Linked DNA regions of Mus musculus. The protein of the gene in region 1 binds, or shares a complex with, the protein of each later gene. Links are inferred from orthologs where the notes say so. Each region holds a gene or a part of one and is shown in the gene's direction. Other genes may lie near its edges.

Region 1 (4,134 bases):
TCCGAGCACTTGGTCTCTTGGAGGCACAAGATATCTGGTGCTTCTTCCTTTACCCACTGAATGGAAATGTGGAAAATTAAAATTTTATGTGCTACATGCTATACACAGAAGGCATTCGAGCAGCAGAATATAAACAAATCTTGTATGTGAGTGAGTGTCCGTTAGTCACCTGACTGGGGTGCTGGAAACCTAACTGGAACCTTCGGAAGCACAATGTGCTGTCAACTGCAGAACGCTCGCTCCCATTTGGATCTTAAGTAGTTACTGGGATTGAGGATATGCTAAGTAACCCAAAAGCGGGGGGGGGGGGGGCAAACAGTCTAGACTAGTTTTTTTAAAAAATGAAATGAGGGAGTTGTTGGGGTTTATATAGGCTTTTAGGAGCCCTCCACCAACCCCCCGGGGGGGCATCTACAGACGCGAAAAATAACGTTTCAAAGGAAACAAGATGATTGGTCCTTAAGACGAGTCAACCAAGAAAGGTCTACTTCCCGATTCTGAACTGTACTCACATCCAAACCTTTCTTTTTAATCCAGGCTCGAAGCCCATCCACATTCCAGGAGCATATCTTGAGTGTGGCAGATTTGCCACTGGGTGAGGTTTTCTGATCTGGAGGGTCCTCGTACAGGACAGGGCCCTCTCCCGCGGCCTCCTTCTCGGTTTTCTTTGCTGCCCCCTTACTCTTCTTGGTCTCTGGCTCTATAAAATGGGTAAAGTAGTAAGAGCTGGCAGTTCCAACCTCAGGCCAGAGTTAACTCTAACCTCATTAGGCGTTCTAATTACACAAACTTCTCGGAACCCAGCAACGTAACTTGGTCCATATTTACCGTAATTCATGGCGGTCTAGTAAAGCCCTGAACTTGCCTGGGGGGTGGGGTTGGGCACGCTTACCCGACTTGGGTTCTTCCCCGTCGTCGGCCGCCGCTTTCTTTCCCCGCTTTGGCATCGCTGTGACGAAAGCCCTTAGGCTCCTGGAGCACCGAAGCAGTGTTTACTGCGCTGCCTGCAGATAAGAAACGATGAAATCAAAACACAAGGAGAGGCAGCGAGGCGCCTCCCGTAGGCGTTTGCACACCCGGGGCTGCGGTTCTTCCGGCCTGGCCCGCCACGAGCAATGCAGCCCCTCGCCCGCGTTAGGCCCTTCAGCGAGCAGGGTCGCGAAACGCGCTAGAACAAGGTACCTGACCTCCCAACGAAGCCAGAGACCCTCACGGCACAAAGAATGGAGTCTGCCTGTTCCCACGTGGGCGATTGGTGTGGTCACGTGATTCGAGGGCTCCGCCCCCACGTGGTTCTGGAGCGCGATGATTGGTCCTCCTGGCACCTCGTGACATAACTTCTGGCGCCCGAAAGTCCCTTCGCTTGGTTCTGGGTTGTTCGTGGTAGTGCCGGTTACAGCTCGTCACTCGGCCTCACGACCGGGAGCCGTGAGGCACCATGCCCGCGGTGCTGGGGTTCGAAGGCAGCGCCAACAAGATCGGCGTGGGCGTGGTCCGCGACGGCACGGTGCTGGCGAACCCGCGGCGCACTTACGTCACGGCCCCGGGCACCGGTGAGTGGCTGCGGCCGCGCTTCCCGGCTCCTTGTCCAGTTTTGTTCTGTCCGATATTCCACACTGTTGCCTATGTCAGATTTTACAGGCTTCCCCACTCCAGACTCCCCTGATTGTGCGTTTGGTTGGTAACTTTTGACTAGAAGAGTCAGACACCTGGGGCTAGGTCACGTGGGTTCGTTCAGGTTTTGTTTTTGGGTTTTTTCATGCATTTTTTTGAGACAGGGTCTCTCCTTGTAACCTTTACTGACCTGGAACTTGCTGTGTAGACTCTTGACTGCTGGAATTAAAGGCATGAGCCACTACCCCCGGTTGTATTCTGATTTTATCGAGCAACTTTAATGAGCTAAGCATCCGAAAATATGTGTTCCGAGGCAGCGCTGTAGATGCACATAGAGATTGGTTTACACTGCACCGTGATAAATATAAAAGTAATCTACAACGAGGAGGGAAAGCTGGAGGAGTTCCTGTATTTTCGATCTGTTTTAGGTGTCTGTTTTTCGGTACTTTTAGAATGGAAATGGGTATCAGTGGGTTTGGACAGTTATGTGAAAAGCACCAGGCACTGCACGACTCTCAATATAGTTACAAGTTGTATTTTGCCTACCCTCTCCCAAAACTTGCACACACATATAACCTGCATGTACCTCTGAAGGCTCCCTAAGCAGGTGAAATGTTTCAGGTTACATAGTAGAAATATATGTGTGTTTAGGACTCACTCTTGTAGGCTCTAAAGCACAGAGGCTGAGATACGTGTGGTTAAAGGGAAGCTACTGACAGTTGTAGTGCTGTAGTTATCATATGTTAAGTCCAACGATATGACCTTTCATAGGGTTCTATGGAATTACAGGAAAAGTTAACAAAGAGTAGGAAGTTTGTAAAACTCAGATTGCTCCTGAACATTGTGTGTGGACCAGCACCATCTCTGAAACCCCAGTAGCCTATGTAGAGGTTGGAAAGCTAACAGAGTGTGTGGTGCAGTCTGTAATGGTGACACCTGGGAGACTGCGACAGGATCTGAGTTTAAGGCTGTCCTATGTTGTGACCTTGTCTCAAAAGTAGAGATTTGAAAAGAGAATATCTTGGGCTGGAGAAATGGCTCAGTGGTTAAGAGCACTGATTGCTCTTCCAGAGGTCCTGAGTTCAATTCCCAGCATTCACATGGTGGCTCACAACCATCTATAATAGGATCCAATGCCCTCTTCTGGTGTGTCTGAAGACAGCTACAGTGTACATACATAAAATAAATAAATCTTTAGAAAAAAAAGAAAAGAGGATGTCTTAAAACCTAGGCAAGTAGAGTATGTTTTTCTACATCGTTAAAACGTGTCTTTGTTGGTTTTTTACTTCTTTTTTTTTAATATTATTTTTATTACGTATTTTCCTCAATTACATTTCCAATGCTATCCCAAAAGTCCCCCATACCCCCGCCCCCCACTCTCCTACCCACCATTCCCACTTTTTGGCCCTGGCGTTCCCCTGTACTGGGGCATATAAAGATTGCATGTCCAATGGGCCTCTCTTTCTAGTGATGGCCGACTAGGCCATCATTTGATACATATGCAGCTAGAGTCAAGAGCTCCGGGATACTGGTTAGTTCATAATGTTGTTGCACCTACAGGGTTGCAGATCTCTTTGGCTCCTTGGATACTTTTTCTAGCTCCTCCATTAGGGGCCCTGTGATCCATCCCAGAGCTGACTGTGAGCATCCACTTATGTGTTTGCTAGGCCCCGGCCTAGTCTCACAAGAGACAGCTATATCAGGGTCCTTTCAGCAAACGCTTGCTAGTGTATGAAATGGTGTCATCGTTTGGGATGACTGTCTATGGGATAGATCCCTGGATATGGCAGTCTCTAGATGGTCCATCCTTTTGTCTCAGCTCCAAACTTTGTCTCTGTAACTCCTTCCATGGGTGATTGCTTCCAATTCTAAAAAGGGGCAAAGTGTCCACACTTTGGTCTTCATTCTTCTTCAGTTTCATGTGTTTTGCAAATTGTATCTTATATATCGGGTATACTAAGTTTCTAAGCTAATATCCACTTATCAGTGAGTACATATCATTTGAGTTCTTTTGTGATTGTGTTACCTCACTCAGGATGATGCCCTCCAGGTCCAACCATTTGCCTAGGAATTTCATAAATTCATTCTTTTTAATAGCTGAGTAGTACTCCCTGTGTAAATGTACCACATTTTTTGTATCCATTCCTCTGTTGAGGGGCATCTGGGTTCTTTCCATCTTCTGGCCATTACAAATAAGGCTGCTATGAACATAGTGGAGCATGTGTCCTTCTTACCGGTTGGGACATCTTCTGGATATATGCCCAGGAGAGGTATTGCGGGATCCTCCAGTAGTACTATACTATACTATGTCCAATTTTCTGAGGAACCGCCAGACTGATTTCCAGAGTGGTTGTACAAGCTTGCAATCCCACCAACAATGGAGGAGTGTTCCTCTTTCTCCACATCCTCGCCAGCATCTGCTGTCACCTGAATTTTTGATCTTAGCCATTCTGACTGGTGTGAGATGGAATCTCAGGGTTGTTTTGATTTGTATTTCCCTGATGACTAAGAACTTTGATC
Region 2 (4,144 bases), on another chromosome or scaffold:
GGATTGGGTATGTCTGCCAGGAGAGTCCCGGAAGGGACAGAAGGGCAGGGAGAACCAGGAGGCCACCATCGGCTTTGATATGTTAAATAGGCACAACAGCAGAGTCCAGGGTTTGAAACCTAACAATGATCCTCCAAATTTAAATACCAGCGACCATGCTGTGACTACTTCTGGGATACAAGATTTATTCAACAATTTTACAGTGCAAACCCAACTTGGTCAACGAAGACAACTAGTATTATGACTTCAGTCCACGCCACACCATAACTCCAAGTCCCTTCACTCCTACCCCAGTCTCCCACTCCACCCATGGGCATAGTTAGCCTGTTTCCTTCCACCAATTCTCATCCTTGTTGTTAAGTTTCCTTCCTACCCACCCTTTTCCACGTTAGTACTTAAATGTACAGTATGCGTCACTAAACACTACATCTCAGCCCCTCAAACTCTCTCGTTCAAAAGGTCCCACAAATGCCAAACAGATCCTTTTCTCCTCTTGGCTTTCCAGTCCCCAGAGAGAGGGGATGTCACATAGCACATACACACGAAACTTCATTTAACCAGAAAGGGGGTGAGGTGGGGGCAGCTAGCAGTTAAACTAGACTACAGGAGTGTCCGGAAGCCGAACCTCACCGGAAGATTTTCAAAGCCGGCCCACTTTCCCTTTACTTTTCCCCATCTGGTCCCTAATTAAGATTCTTGGGCGGTGGGAGAAGTGGAGCGAAGAATATCTGGGTTTGAGAGATCACGAGAACAACCTCGTGAAAAGCAGGCCACCAAGAGGCGACAACTGGAGGACCGGAGCCTGCAGTGTACCATCAGCGGAACCGAGGGACAGCCCTGGTGGCGACAAGCTGAGGATGAAATGGCAGCCGGGCCGGGGCTGTAGAAGCACAGAGTAAAGGGCCGCCGTGAGTGGGCCCGGCCGCGGCCAGCGGGAAACAGACAGGACGGCGGGAGCAGCCGGGCCGCGCGCACCTGCGAGTAGGAGCACTTCTCCGAGTCGCTGCCGCCCAGGACGGCGCACGCCTCATTCTCCAACTCCTCGTCTTCCTCGAGCACGTCCACCAGCGACACCACGGGCTCCAGCTCCGCCTGGCACTCGGTGGGGCTCTCGGCTCCGGCCATCCTCAACTGTCACCGGGCTCCGCTGCGTGGGCCCAGGAGGAGGCGGGAAAAGTGGCCGCCGCCAGGGGCGTCGCGAGAAGGCGGGGCCCCGTGAGGAGGCGGAGCCCGAGCACCAGACAGCCAATCCTAAGGAAGGACACGGAAGAAAATGGGCGGGCCAATTTCGGGAAATCGGAAGTCATTCCTCCTCCTCCTCGCCTCTCCCGCCCGCCCCGGCCGCAGGCTGGCTTCCGCTTCCGGGTGGCGTTTCTCCGAGGCGCGCTGTTGAAGCTGAGTGGTCGCCATGGAGCTTTCGGGCGAGTACGTCGGTTGTGACGGGGAGCCGCAGCGGCTACGAGTGTCCTGTGAGGCGTCGGGAGACGCGGACCCTCTCCAGAGCCTGTCGGCGGGCGTGGTCCGGATGAAGGAGTTGGTAGCGGAGTTCTTCGGGACCCTAGTGGAGCAGGACGCGCAAGGCTTGGCGGAAGATCCGGACGACGCTTTGGATGGTGAGCGCGGGGGCGGGGCGCCGGGGGACACTGGCGGGACCGGGCAGTGTGAAGGGCAGGCTAGAGAAGGCGAGCCCCGGAGAAGAGGAGCAATCGCTTCTAAAAATCCTTAGAACTCGCTGCCCTCTTTGTCTGATATCCCACCGCCCCCCGTTTTTGCGACTTTTCCCACCAAAAAAAAAAAAAAAAACCGTGGCGAGCGTTGGACTAGGGACTGGTCAACGGACGAAGTCAGCTTGACTCCCTTGCAAAGAACGCAAAGGATTAAGATAGGCAGAGAAAGTGGCGGTCTGTAACCATTGCTAGCTGGCACGAAGACCCGAAAGGGCGGGAAGGTAGACCTGGTTGTTGAAAAACGGAAAGGAGTGAAATTAGAAACGAGAAAACGTGTTTGACAGAATGAGGAGAGCTTCGAATGACCGAGGCCCACTTTGTTTTAGGGAATCTTAACCCTCTCAGTTTTGTAGCTATTGTTTCGAAAGTAAAAGAGTTCTTTTTAGTTTAGCTTTTTGGTATTCTTAAATTAATTGATCGTTTCATTCATGTATTAATGCATTCAGGTCATGGTCTCTATCCCCCGCTGAACCCTTCTCGACAGGGCTCCTCGCCTTTCTTTCCGGCCTTTTTTTGTCACTGGATTTATTTAAGGATATTTGTATGATATTTACTGGAACTAGGGCAACACAGCAGTGACTAGACCACTGAAGAAAAACAATGACTCCCCCGCCCCCCATTAACCGCCAACCGCTCCTCTGAGAGGGGTGGCGCCTCATGAGCCCCCCCCTTCCTTGATGGAATGTTTACGTTGCCATCTTGTGCTGCCAGAGTTTAAGGGCTATATAATGTCCGAAAGCACTACAGCCCTTCCCGTCCTCTTACTTTCTCTCACCCCCTCTCCTGTTGTAGAAATTAACTGTTAATTTTGGTGGCTTGGGGTTTGTTTGCTTTTAAAGATGGATGTTTACCTGCATGCTTGTCTGTACACCTCTTATGTGCAGTGCCTTCGGAGGCCAGAAGAGGGCATCAAATCCCCTGGAACCAGAGTTACAGATAGTCAAGAGGGTGCCTCGTACATGCAGGGGAAAAGTAGGTGGTGCTCTTAACCACGGAGCCATCTCTCCAGCCCTAGCTCTGTTAATAGGAATAAAATTATTTTGTAGACATTGTCACCATGTAACGGTTAAACCAGCCTCGCTTTGGATTTGCAGAGACCTGCCAGACTCTGCCTCAGCAGTGCTGGAATTAAAGAAATATGCCACCACACTCCACTGTTGTTACATTTATTTCTAATCTTGAATTGAACACCAAGATAGATGTTTCATTGTTCTGAGCTAAGGAGTCAATTCTTCTGCAGAGGAGATTAAACTTCCGTATTCTTTATAATATAGTTATTGGCTGTCATTAAAAGGAACAATAAGGGGCTGGTGAGATGGCTCAGCAGTTAAGAGCACTGACTGCTCTTCCAAAGGTCCCAAGTTCAAATCCCAGCAACCACATGGTGGCTCACAACCATCCATAATGAGATCTGACGCCCTCTTCTGGTGTGTCTGAAGACAACTACAGTGTACTTACATATAATAAATAATTTTTTTAAAGAAACAATAAAAAGTATTAGCTAGATGTATTATTCACGGTTCTTCAAAGGAGCAGAGCTGATAGAATAAGTGTGATATAAAGATATTTATTAGAATGGCTTATGGCCTGTGATCTGAGTAGCCCAAAACTGGCAGTCTCCTGACAGAAAGGCTAAGCATCTGATAGTTGTTTGGTCCATGAGACTGGATGTCTCAACAGTCCCAATCATGTACTGGAGTTCCTGGAAAGTCTTAAGAGAGCTGCCAGTTTTCAGTCTATGTTGGAATCCTAAAGAGTAGGTTCTAACACCAACAAAGGAGTATCTTGGGCCTCTCAGTAACAGGATAGATGAACTTGATAGTCAGTGAGGGCAAGCAGGCAAAAAACAAAAGCTTCCCTCCATATCTTTTCACCTGGGCTGGGCAAGTTGACATTACTTGTCATTCTAAGATAGGACAGGCCACATTGTTGGTGGAAGTGTAAAGTGGTTATCTTAATTATATAGTTAGAGAAGAGCCTAGCTGTATGGCCAAGGTATTTGGATATATATTTTGAGTCTGAGTCTTATTTCTGGGAGCATTGGTCTAGGAGGAGGAACTGGAATCAGACTTCTACAAAATGATACCCTATGTTGGGTGCCAATAGGTTGTAATAAATTAGGAGTTTCTACTCCACCTTAGATCATTTAGTTCTCAGATTAAAAGACTTCTATTACTGTTTTATAATATGTAATAATATGGGTTTTTTTTTTTTTTTGGTTTTTGGTTTTTAGTTTTTCAGACAGGGTTTCTCTGTATATCCCTGGCTGTCCTGGAACTCACTTTGTAGACCAGGCTGGCCTCGAACTCAGAAATCCGCCTGCCTCTGCCTCCTGAGTGCGGGGATATAATACAGTTTTAATGCACTAGAGCTGGGCAAATATCTCCTTTCTAAGCTATTCTGAGCCACTTCCCCCA
Region 3 (4,128 bases), on another chromosome or scaffold:
AGAGAAATGGTTTTATATGTGGCTACCTGACACTGTCTTCTAACTTTGGTTCAGACCTTTATTGTCTATATCTGTTTCAGAACAAAGCATATTTCAGAAATTCTCACTCCAAGACACAGCTGCTCCTGCTACATATGGTATGTTCTGATGTACATCTTTTTGTGCCAGAGAATTCTCTTACAAGAAAAGAAGTCATTCCGACAACCAACCAGGTGCACGGTGTCAGGATGTCATCTTTCATATGACACAGATCTCAGAGTTGCTACTGATAGTGAAGAATGATTGGGGACAGATAGGGACACTTTCATATTCTGGATTATGAAGACACACTTGTACTTCACACTGAGGAAAGGAAACGAAACGGACACCCTCTCATTTGTTTTGAATTAACCTCCCAGGTATCTCTGTAGGGGTGTAAGGTCGATTATCAGTAGAAATTAATTAGATTCTGAGTTCCAATGTGCCTGTGTCCAAACACCTGCAGACGAGGAGAAAGCCAAGAAAGTAAGAAGCAAACATCATATGAGAAGTGTCCTCATGTTGACCATCTGGCCAGAGAGGCAAAACAAAACGGAGCTCCAGGATTATTGGCTGTCTTTGCCTATGGCCCTATCTCCTCCTTATATATTCTGCTGGGTGAAGATGGCAGGGAATGCATGTCTGTAGGGTAATTAACCTACTATTTCAGACTGCAGGTTCTCTCTGGATAAACTAATTTTAAGATTCAAGCTCTTTATTCATTGGGTTCTCTTGACAGGTAGCAAGGACTAAAATCCGGACTCACTATCTTGGTGGCCACCCTTCCCCGTGAGCAGTACCCTGGTCTTGTATAATTCCCTGAGGCGGATGGCTTCTGGGGACTTGATCCCAGCGTCGCGTCCTCTGGTCTGCTCAAGAAATTTGCCTCTTTCCTCTGTCACAGCTGTGAAAGTCCACTTGTCTCTAGATCTCCAAGCACCGGAAGCGCTCCTTCAATGTAAGCCACAACCACGCCAGATCCCCGTTTCCACCCAAGAGCATACTCGGTAAACTGAGTCTGGAAAGCTCTGATAAATTGTGACTCCCATCCTGGTGAATATTTTTCTTTTTCACAGGAAAAGAGTGTTCAACACAGGCTAAGAACAGGGCTGACAACACCATACCTCAGCTTCTAGGCCCGACCAGTGGGGGCTTTTCCACCTCCGAAGCCGGGACAAATTAGAGTTAGTTCTCCTTGTCCTCCGCCAGCAGCTTCTAGCGGTACTAGGAGTCCGCTCCACTTCCATTTTAGAGCCAGGAGCACGCCCACCGGAAACTGGGCGCCTCGGCGCCCGCCCACCTATCAAACATTAAGCACTTCCGGAAGTAGAGAGCTAAGTTTCCTAGGGGACGATCTTCTGATGCGGGCGTAGGATGCAGGGTGAGTTCCGCCCTGTTGCTCTTTCCCTGCGGACAGTTTTGCGGGCGAAGTACGCGTGCCTTTGCCCGTGTTTGTCGCGAGCCCCGGTGGAGAGCGACATGGTCTCAGGAGCGCGGCTCGGGACGGAAGGCCGCTCGGCTGCGCGCGCCGGGGCGCCCCCTGCAGGCGATGCCCGAGGCTGAGGCTGGAGGAGCCGCGTGCGGACCGCACAGCCACAGCCAGGCCCAGCGCTGGGAGGGAGGCGCGGCGGAGAGCGGAGTCGCCTCCACCCCAGGCTTTACCCGGGCCAGCGAGCGGCCTTGGCAGGAGGGACCCAGGCAAGAAGCCCTGAGGGTAGTAGGGACGCCCTGTTGGAAAGCCTGACCAGCCTAAGCCGAGGGCAGGCCATGCCATCCGGGTTGGAGAGGAGTCAGGCAGGGTCCAGACTACATGCTGGTCCCAGTGACATAGTTAGTGCTTTAGCTTCAGCCTGACTTCCTCCTGAAGGACCCCGTGACCATTGGGATAGGCTAGAATTGCATTACTGGTGACAGGGCCCGGATGAGGACGCTGTTAAGGTGTTATTGATAAGAGGTGATGGCAGTGCTTGTGACAAGGATGAGTCAGGAGAGATGTGGATATAGAGTCAGAACGTGGACACTGGACGTGAGAAGCCTTAGACCACCTCCTGTTGCTAATACCACAGTACCTCATGGTGGGTGAGGTGTTTTGTTGTGTTTTCCTAGACAGGGTTTCTCTGTGTAGCCCTGGATGTCCTGAACTCATACTGTAGACCAGGCTGGCCTTAAACTCAGAGATCTGCCAGCGTCTGCCTCAAGCCAGGGAGCAGGTTAGGAGGCTAGGCAAACTTCATTTGTAATAGAATCGCTTTGGAGATAGAAGCCTTTATTTGATAATCATATAACTGGATTAACAAAATTTTGACCTGGGCAGCGGTGGCACACACCTTTAATCCCAGCACTTGGAAGGCAGAGCAAAACAAAACCCAAAAAACAAAATTTTGAGTTCAAAGGCCCCAATTGCCCCTGAGGTAAACTATTAACTTTATAGTGATATGAGCGGATTAATTATTTTTTATTTTTATCTCTTAGTACAAAGTCCTAGCCACCTTCTTAATTCCATACTTGGCCTCACCGTTTAATATCACACATCGGGAACTAAATGTCAACATGACTCTTTTTTTTTTTTTTTTTCAAAGAAAAAAATCACATGATCATTTTATTTGATGCTGAGAAAACATTTGACATAGTTCTTTTTTTTGTTTTTTTTTTATTAGATTTTTTTATATACATTTCAAATGCTATCCTGAAAGTTCCCTATACCCTCCCTCCGCCCTGCTCCCCTACCCACCCACTCCCGCTTCTTGGCCCTGGCATTCCCCTGTGATGGCTGACTAGGCCATCTTCTGCTACATATGCAGCTAGAGATATGAGCTCTGGCGGTACGGGTTAGTTCATATTGTTGTTCCACCTATAGGGTTGCAGACCCCTTCAGCTCCTTGAGTGCTTTCTCTAGCTTCTCCATTGGGAGCCCTGTGTTCCATCTTATAGATGACTGAGCATCCACTTCTGTATTTAACAGGCACTGGCATAGCCACATATGAGACATCTATAACAGGGTCCCTTCAGCAAAATCTTTCTGGCATATGCAATAGGGTCTGGGTTTGGTGGCTGATTATGGGATGGATCTCTGGGTGGGGTAGTCTCTGGATAGTCCATCTTTCCTCTTAGCTCCAAACTTTGTCTCTGTAACTCCTTTCATGGGTATTTTGTTCCCTATTCTAAGGAGGAATGAAATATCCACCCATTGGTCTTCCCTCTTCTTGATTTTCTTGTGTTTTGCAAATTGTATCTTGGGTGTTCTATGTTTCTGGGCTAATATCCACTTATCAGTGAGTACATATCATGTGAGTTCTTTTGTGATTGGGTTACCTCACTAAGGATGATATCCTCCAGATACATCCATTTGTCCAAAACTTTCATAAATCCATTGTTTTTAATAGCTGAGTAGTACTCCATTGTGTAAATGTACCACATTTTCTGTATCCATTTTTCTGTTGAGGGACATCTGGGTTCTTTCCAGCTTCTGGCTATTATAAATAAGGCTGCTATGAACATAGTGGAGCATGTGTTCTTATTACCAGTTGGAACTTCTGTGTATATGCCCAGGAGAGGTATTTTTGGATCTTCTGGTAGTATTATGTCCAACTTTCTGAGGAACCTCCAGACTGACTTCCAGAGTGGTTGTACAAGCTTGCAATCCCACCAACAATGGAGGAGTGTTCCTCTTTCTCCACATCCTCGCCAGCATCTGCTGTCTCCTGAATTTTTGATCTTAGCCATTCTGACTGGTGTGAGGTGGAATCTCAGGGTTGTTTTGATTTGCATTTCCCTGATGATTATGGATGTTGAACATTTTTTCAGGTGCTTCTCAGCCATTCGGTATTCCTCAGGTGAGAATTCTTTGTTTAGCTCTGAACCCCATTTTTAATGGGGTTATTTGAATTTCTGGAGTCTAGCTTCTTGAGCTCTTTGTATATATTGGATATTAGTCCCCTATCTGGTTTAGGATTGGTAAAAATCCTTTCCCAATCTGTTGGTGGCCTTTTTGTCTTATTGACAGTGTCTTTTCCCTTGCAGAAGCTTTGCAATTTTATGAGGTCCCATTTGTCAATTCTTGATCTTACAGCACAAGCCATTGCTTTCTGTTTAGGAATTTTTCCCCTGTGC
Region 4 (3,268 bases), on another chromosome or scaffold:
GGGCTTTTGAAGGTGTTCAAGGAGAGGAGCTGGAGCTGCTTCAGTAATTAAAACTTGCTGCTCTTGCAAAGGACCTGGATTCAGTTCCCAGCACCCACATGACAGTTTATAACCACCCACAACTCCAGTTACAGGATTCACATAGATACCAGGACCTGCACACAGTAGGTGCACTTATATACAAACAGGGAAAACACTCAAACACATACAATAAAAATAAATACATTTAGCTGGGGTGAGGGTTGTGTTTTAATCCTGGCACTCAGAAGACAAAGGCAGGAAGATCTCTGAGTTTGAGGCCAGCCTGGTCTACAGAACAACTTCCAGGACAGCCAGACCTACATAGAGTCTCTCTCTCCTCTTTCTCCTCTCTGTCCTCTCTGTCCCCCCTCTCTCCTTCCTTTCCCGATCCCTCTACCACCACCCTCAACAGGGCCTCACTATATAGCTGTCCTAGAACTCACTATGAAGACCAGGTTGACTTCAACTTCACAGCCACCTGCTCTGCCTCCAAAGTGTCGGGATTAAAGGCATGTAACCCTGGCTAAGAGAACTTATCTGGAAAAATAAAGAAACCTCTTGCTTGCTGATACTCAAAATCTCATTTCACTTCATTTGTTTGTTGATGGGGTTTTCTGTTTTGTGACTGCTTTTGAGATGATATAAATATGTAAGTCTGGATAGCCTAGAAGTGGTTATGTAGATCAGGCTGACCTCCAACTTAAGCAAAGAACTATTCCCACCTCCTAAATCAGTGGTTCTCAACCTTCCTAATGCTGCAACCCTTTAATATGTTCCTCATGTTATGGTGACCCCAACCATAAAATTATTTTCATTGCTACCTCATAACTGTAATTTTGTTACTGTTATGAGTTGTAATGTAAATATCTGATATGCAGGATATCTGATATGTGACCCCAACTTGGGTCAACCCACAGATTGAGAACCATGGTCCTAAATGCTAAGATTTCTTCAGGCATCACCACACCAGGCCACTTGACAGTTTTTTGGTTTGATAGTGTTTTGGTTTTTGTTGTGGTTTTGTTTTTTAGAAAATATCACCTTAGGTCCCTTTTAGGAAACTGTAGGGACAACTTGGCATGGTGATGCACTTTGGAGGCAGAAGCTGACCAGATCAACCTATAAATCCCTGGAGAGTCCTCCTGCCCACCCCCACCCCCCCCCCCCACCGCTCCTCCCCGCCCCGCCTCCCTCCCCCCCCCCCGCCCCTCGCCCCTCCCCGGCCCCACCACCTTCCCCGTTCGCGCAGGCGCGTGTGGAATGGCAGCCTGTGCGAGGGGCGGAGCTTCCGGAGGATAAGGCGGGTTCTGGGCCGCAGCAATGGCAGAGGCGGCGGGCTGGTAACGCGAAGGTGGGTTGAAAGGAGGAACAGCAGCAGACATGCAGACAGCACACACAGGTTTAAGCCACACTGCAGATGGCGCCGATGGTCAGACTAGCCGCTGTTGTCCTGGTAATGCAGGCACAAAGGCAGTTATTCCCAGTGGAGCTCACCCTGTTGCAAGAGCACTGGAAGCCTCCCGAAATTCCAGCAAAAGCATGGTGCCTTTAACCCAAAGGCCTGGAACCCGACATCACAGATTGTATCCTACCGGACATGGACATATCTGCGGGATGCTTGAAACAGGGAAGCGGGTAGTCTGGAGGAGGGTAAAAAAAGAAAGAAAAGAAAAGAAAAAAAAGCAGGGAGGAGGGAAGCAGAGGGACCCGCTGATTGGGGTATGGCCTGGGCATGAAAAGTTCCTTGACAACAGAGGAGGGGCAGCAGGGTGGAGGGAAATGAGCAGGAATGGCCCAAGCAATGTGGAAGATATAGCCTGGGGAGCTTAGACCAGATGCGATGATTTTAGAGGGGTAAGGAGGCAAAGTTGATTCAAGATGGTGCCTTTCCTGAGTCTCTACCAGCTCCCTCTTCGTGCCTTTCCCGACCTCTTTGGAGGCAGAAATCGCCTGTGGGTCCCTAGTTCCAGATGTCGAACCACATCGAGGACTGGTAGGGAAGGAGCTTAAAGTGAGCGGCTGCATGCTGGAGGTGTAAGTGTTGAAAGAGTCTAGGATGCTGGGTAGGTGTCTGGGCCATCCTCCACCCTAGGCTGCACTTCCTCAGAGACATCATCACACTAGAGTGATTTTTAAGGAAAGGCATGATGCACTGGACCAGTCTAGTCTCTACCTGCAGTACAGTGGATGCCTGACAGATGAAGAAAGGGTAGGAGCCAAGAGAAAGGCAGATGGTCTGATTACTGTGAGTTCCAGGCCAGCCAGATCCACATAGCAATCCCTAAGCCAACCATGGCTACATAGTGAGAGATTTTCTATCTATTTCCAAAAAAAAAAAAATAAATAAAAGGAAAGAAATAAGGGTAGAAACTACCAGTTTGAATTTGATGTTCTTTTCCTCACTCTTAGACGCTGGATCGCGGAAGATTCTCGCCTCCTCCGACTTTCCATCATCAACTTTCTTGACCAGCTTTCCCTAGTGGTGAACACCATACAGCTCTTTGGGCCCCCAGTTTCCTGTTAAGCCTGGCTGGGGACCCATGTCTGACCTTATCTCCGTCTCCTCCTAAGCAATACAATTTTCCCTAGGGAAAAGATTCTAGAAATAGTAACTACTACATAAATGTGGGGGCCTAATATTTTTTTCCTGATTTGGTCCTCAGGCACTTAGGAGCCATTTGGTCTGGTGCTTCAATGTTTGTTGCTGAAGAAAATAAAGCTATGTTGCTAATCTGCATTTGAGCTTATTTTCAGCCTCTAAATTTTCTTTGGTTTTTATTTTGTGTTGGAGGAGGGGCTCTGGAATTCAGGTGGTTTCTTTTGTTTGTTTTTTCTTTTCTTTGTTTTAAAAAGATTTATTTATTCATTTTTATGCATATGAGTACACTATAGCTGTACAGATGGTTTTGCGTCTTCATGTGGTTGTTGGGAATTGTATTTAGGACCGCTGCTCGCTCCGGTCAACCCCATTCGCTACGGTCAGCCAGCTTGCTCCAGTCAACTCCGTTTGCTCAGTCCCTGCTCACTCCAGCCCGAAGATTTATTTATTATTATACATAAGTGCACTTTAGCTGTCTTTAGACACACCAGAAGAGGGTGTCAGATCTCATTACGAGTGGTTGTGAGCCACCATGTGGTTGCTGGGATTTGAACTCGGGACCTTTGGAAGAGTGGTCAGTGCTCTTAACAGCTGAGCCATCTCGCCAGCCCTTTTTCTTTTTTTTTAAGACAGGGTTTCTCGTGTAGT

The links. Proteins that work in one complex are often made in the same cells at the same time.
Region 2: Osgep (region 1) and Gon7 share a complex: the UniProt entries of both Homo sapiens proteins name them as parts of the EKC/KEOPS complex. The link is inferred for Mus musculus from reciprocal best matches to the Homo sapiens genes OSGEP and GON7.
Region 3: Osgep (region 1) and Tprkb share a complex: the UniProt entries of both Homo sapiens proteins name them as parts of the EKC/KEOPS complex. The link is inferred for Mus musculus from reciprocal best matches to the Homo sapiens genes OSGEP and TPRKB.
Region 4: the proteins of Osgep (region 1) and Lage3 are in contact, whole or in part, in a crystal structure (PDB 6GWJ), measured with the Homo sapiens proteins. The link is inferred for Mus musculus from reciprocal best matches to the Homo sapiens genes OSGEP and LAGE3. Residues at the interface, in NP_060277.1 of Homo sapiens: Arg50, Ile53, Leu54, Asp55, Leu57, Gln58, Leu61, Gln69, Ala84, Val87, Ser88, Val91, Val92, Arg94, Thr95, Val96, Gln98, Leu99, Trp100, Asn101, Leu315, Ser318, Gly319, Val320; in NP_006005.2 of Homo sapiens: Glu76, Ile77, Gly80, Ser81, Leu82, Pro84, Asp85, Asp125, Gln126, Leu129, Val130, Arg132, Thr133, Met134, Arg136, Phe137, Gly138, Pro139, Pro140, Val141, Arg143.

Annotation. Positions count from the first base shown.
Region 1 is NC_000080.6:50,922,083-50,926,216, reverse strand, and holds the start of Osgep (probable tRNA N6-adenosine threonylcarbamoyltransferase), read left to right. Parts: upstream 1-1,323; 5' UTR 1,324-1,438; coding exon 1,439-1,553; intron 1,554-4,134. Other genes in the region: Apex1 (DNA-(apurinic or apyrimidinic site) lyase), read right to left, coding at 1-56, 513-700, 893-947. UniProt on the Homo sapiens protein: Component of the EKC/KEOPS complex that is required for the formation of a threonylcarbamoyl group on adenosine at position 37 (t(6)A37) in tRNAs that read codons beginning with adenine.
Region 2 is NC_000078.6:102,755,010-102,759,153, reverse strand, and holds the start of Gon7 (EKC/KEOPS complex subunit GON7), read left to right. Parts: upstream 1-1,343; 5' UTR 1,344-1,408; coding exon 1,409-1,613; intron 1,614-4,144. Other genes in the region: putative E3 ubiquitin-protein ligase UBR7, read right to left, coding at 976-1,125; Gm20604 (AK010878-Moap1 protein), read left to right, coding at 1,409-1,613. UniProt on the Homo sapiens protein: Component of the EKC/KEOPS complex that is required for the formation of a threonylcarbamoyl group on adenosine at position 37 (t(6)A37) in tRNAs that read codons beginning with adenine.
Region 3 is NC_000072.6:85,914,392-85,918,519, forward strand, and holds the start of Tprkb (EKC/KEOPS complex subunit Tprkb), read left to right. Parts: upstream 1-1,327; 5' UTR 1,328-1,399; exon of another isoform or gene 1,400-1,523; intron 1,524-1,579; exon of another isoform or gene 1,580-1,716; intron 1,717-4,128. UniProt on the Homo sapiens protein: Component of the EKC/KEOPS complex that is required for the formation of a threonylcarbamoyl group on adenosine at position 37 (t(6)A37) in tRNAs that read codons beginning with adenine.
Region 4 is NC_000086.7:74,351,661-74,354,928, reverse strand, and holds Lage3 (EKC/KEOPS complex subunit Lage3), read left to right. Parts: upstream 1-1,310; 5' UTR 1,311-1,401; coding exon 1,402-1,604; intron 1,605-1,926; coding exon 1,927-2,055; intron 2,056-2,430; coding exon 2,431-2,545; 3' UTR 2,546-2,767; downstream 2,768-3,268. UniProt on the Homo sapiens protein: Component of the EKC/KEOPS complex that is required for the formation of a threonylcarbamoyl group on adenosine at position 37 (t(6)A37) in tRNAs that read codons beginning with adenine.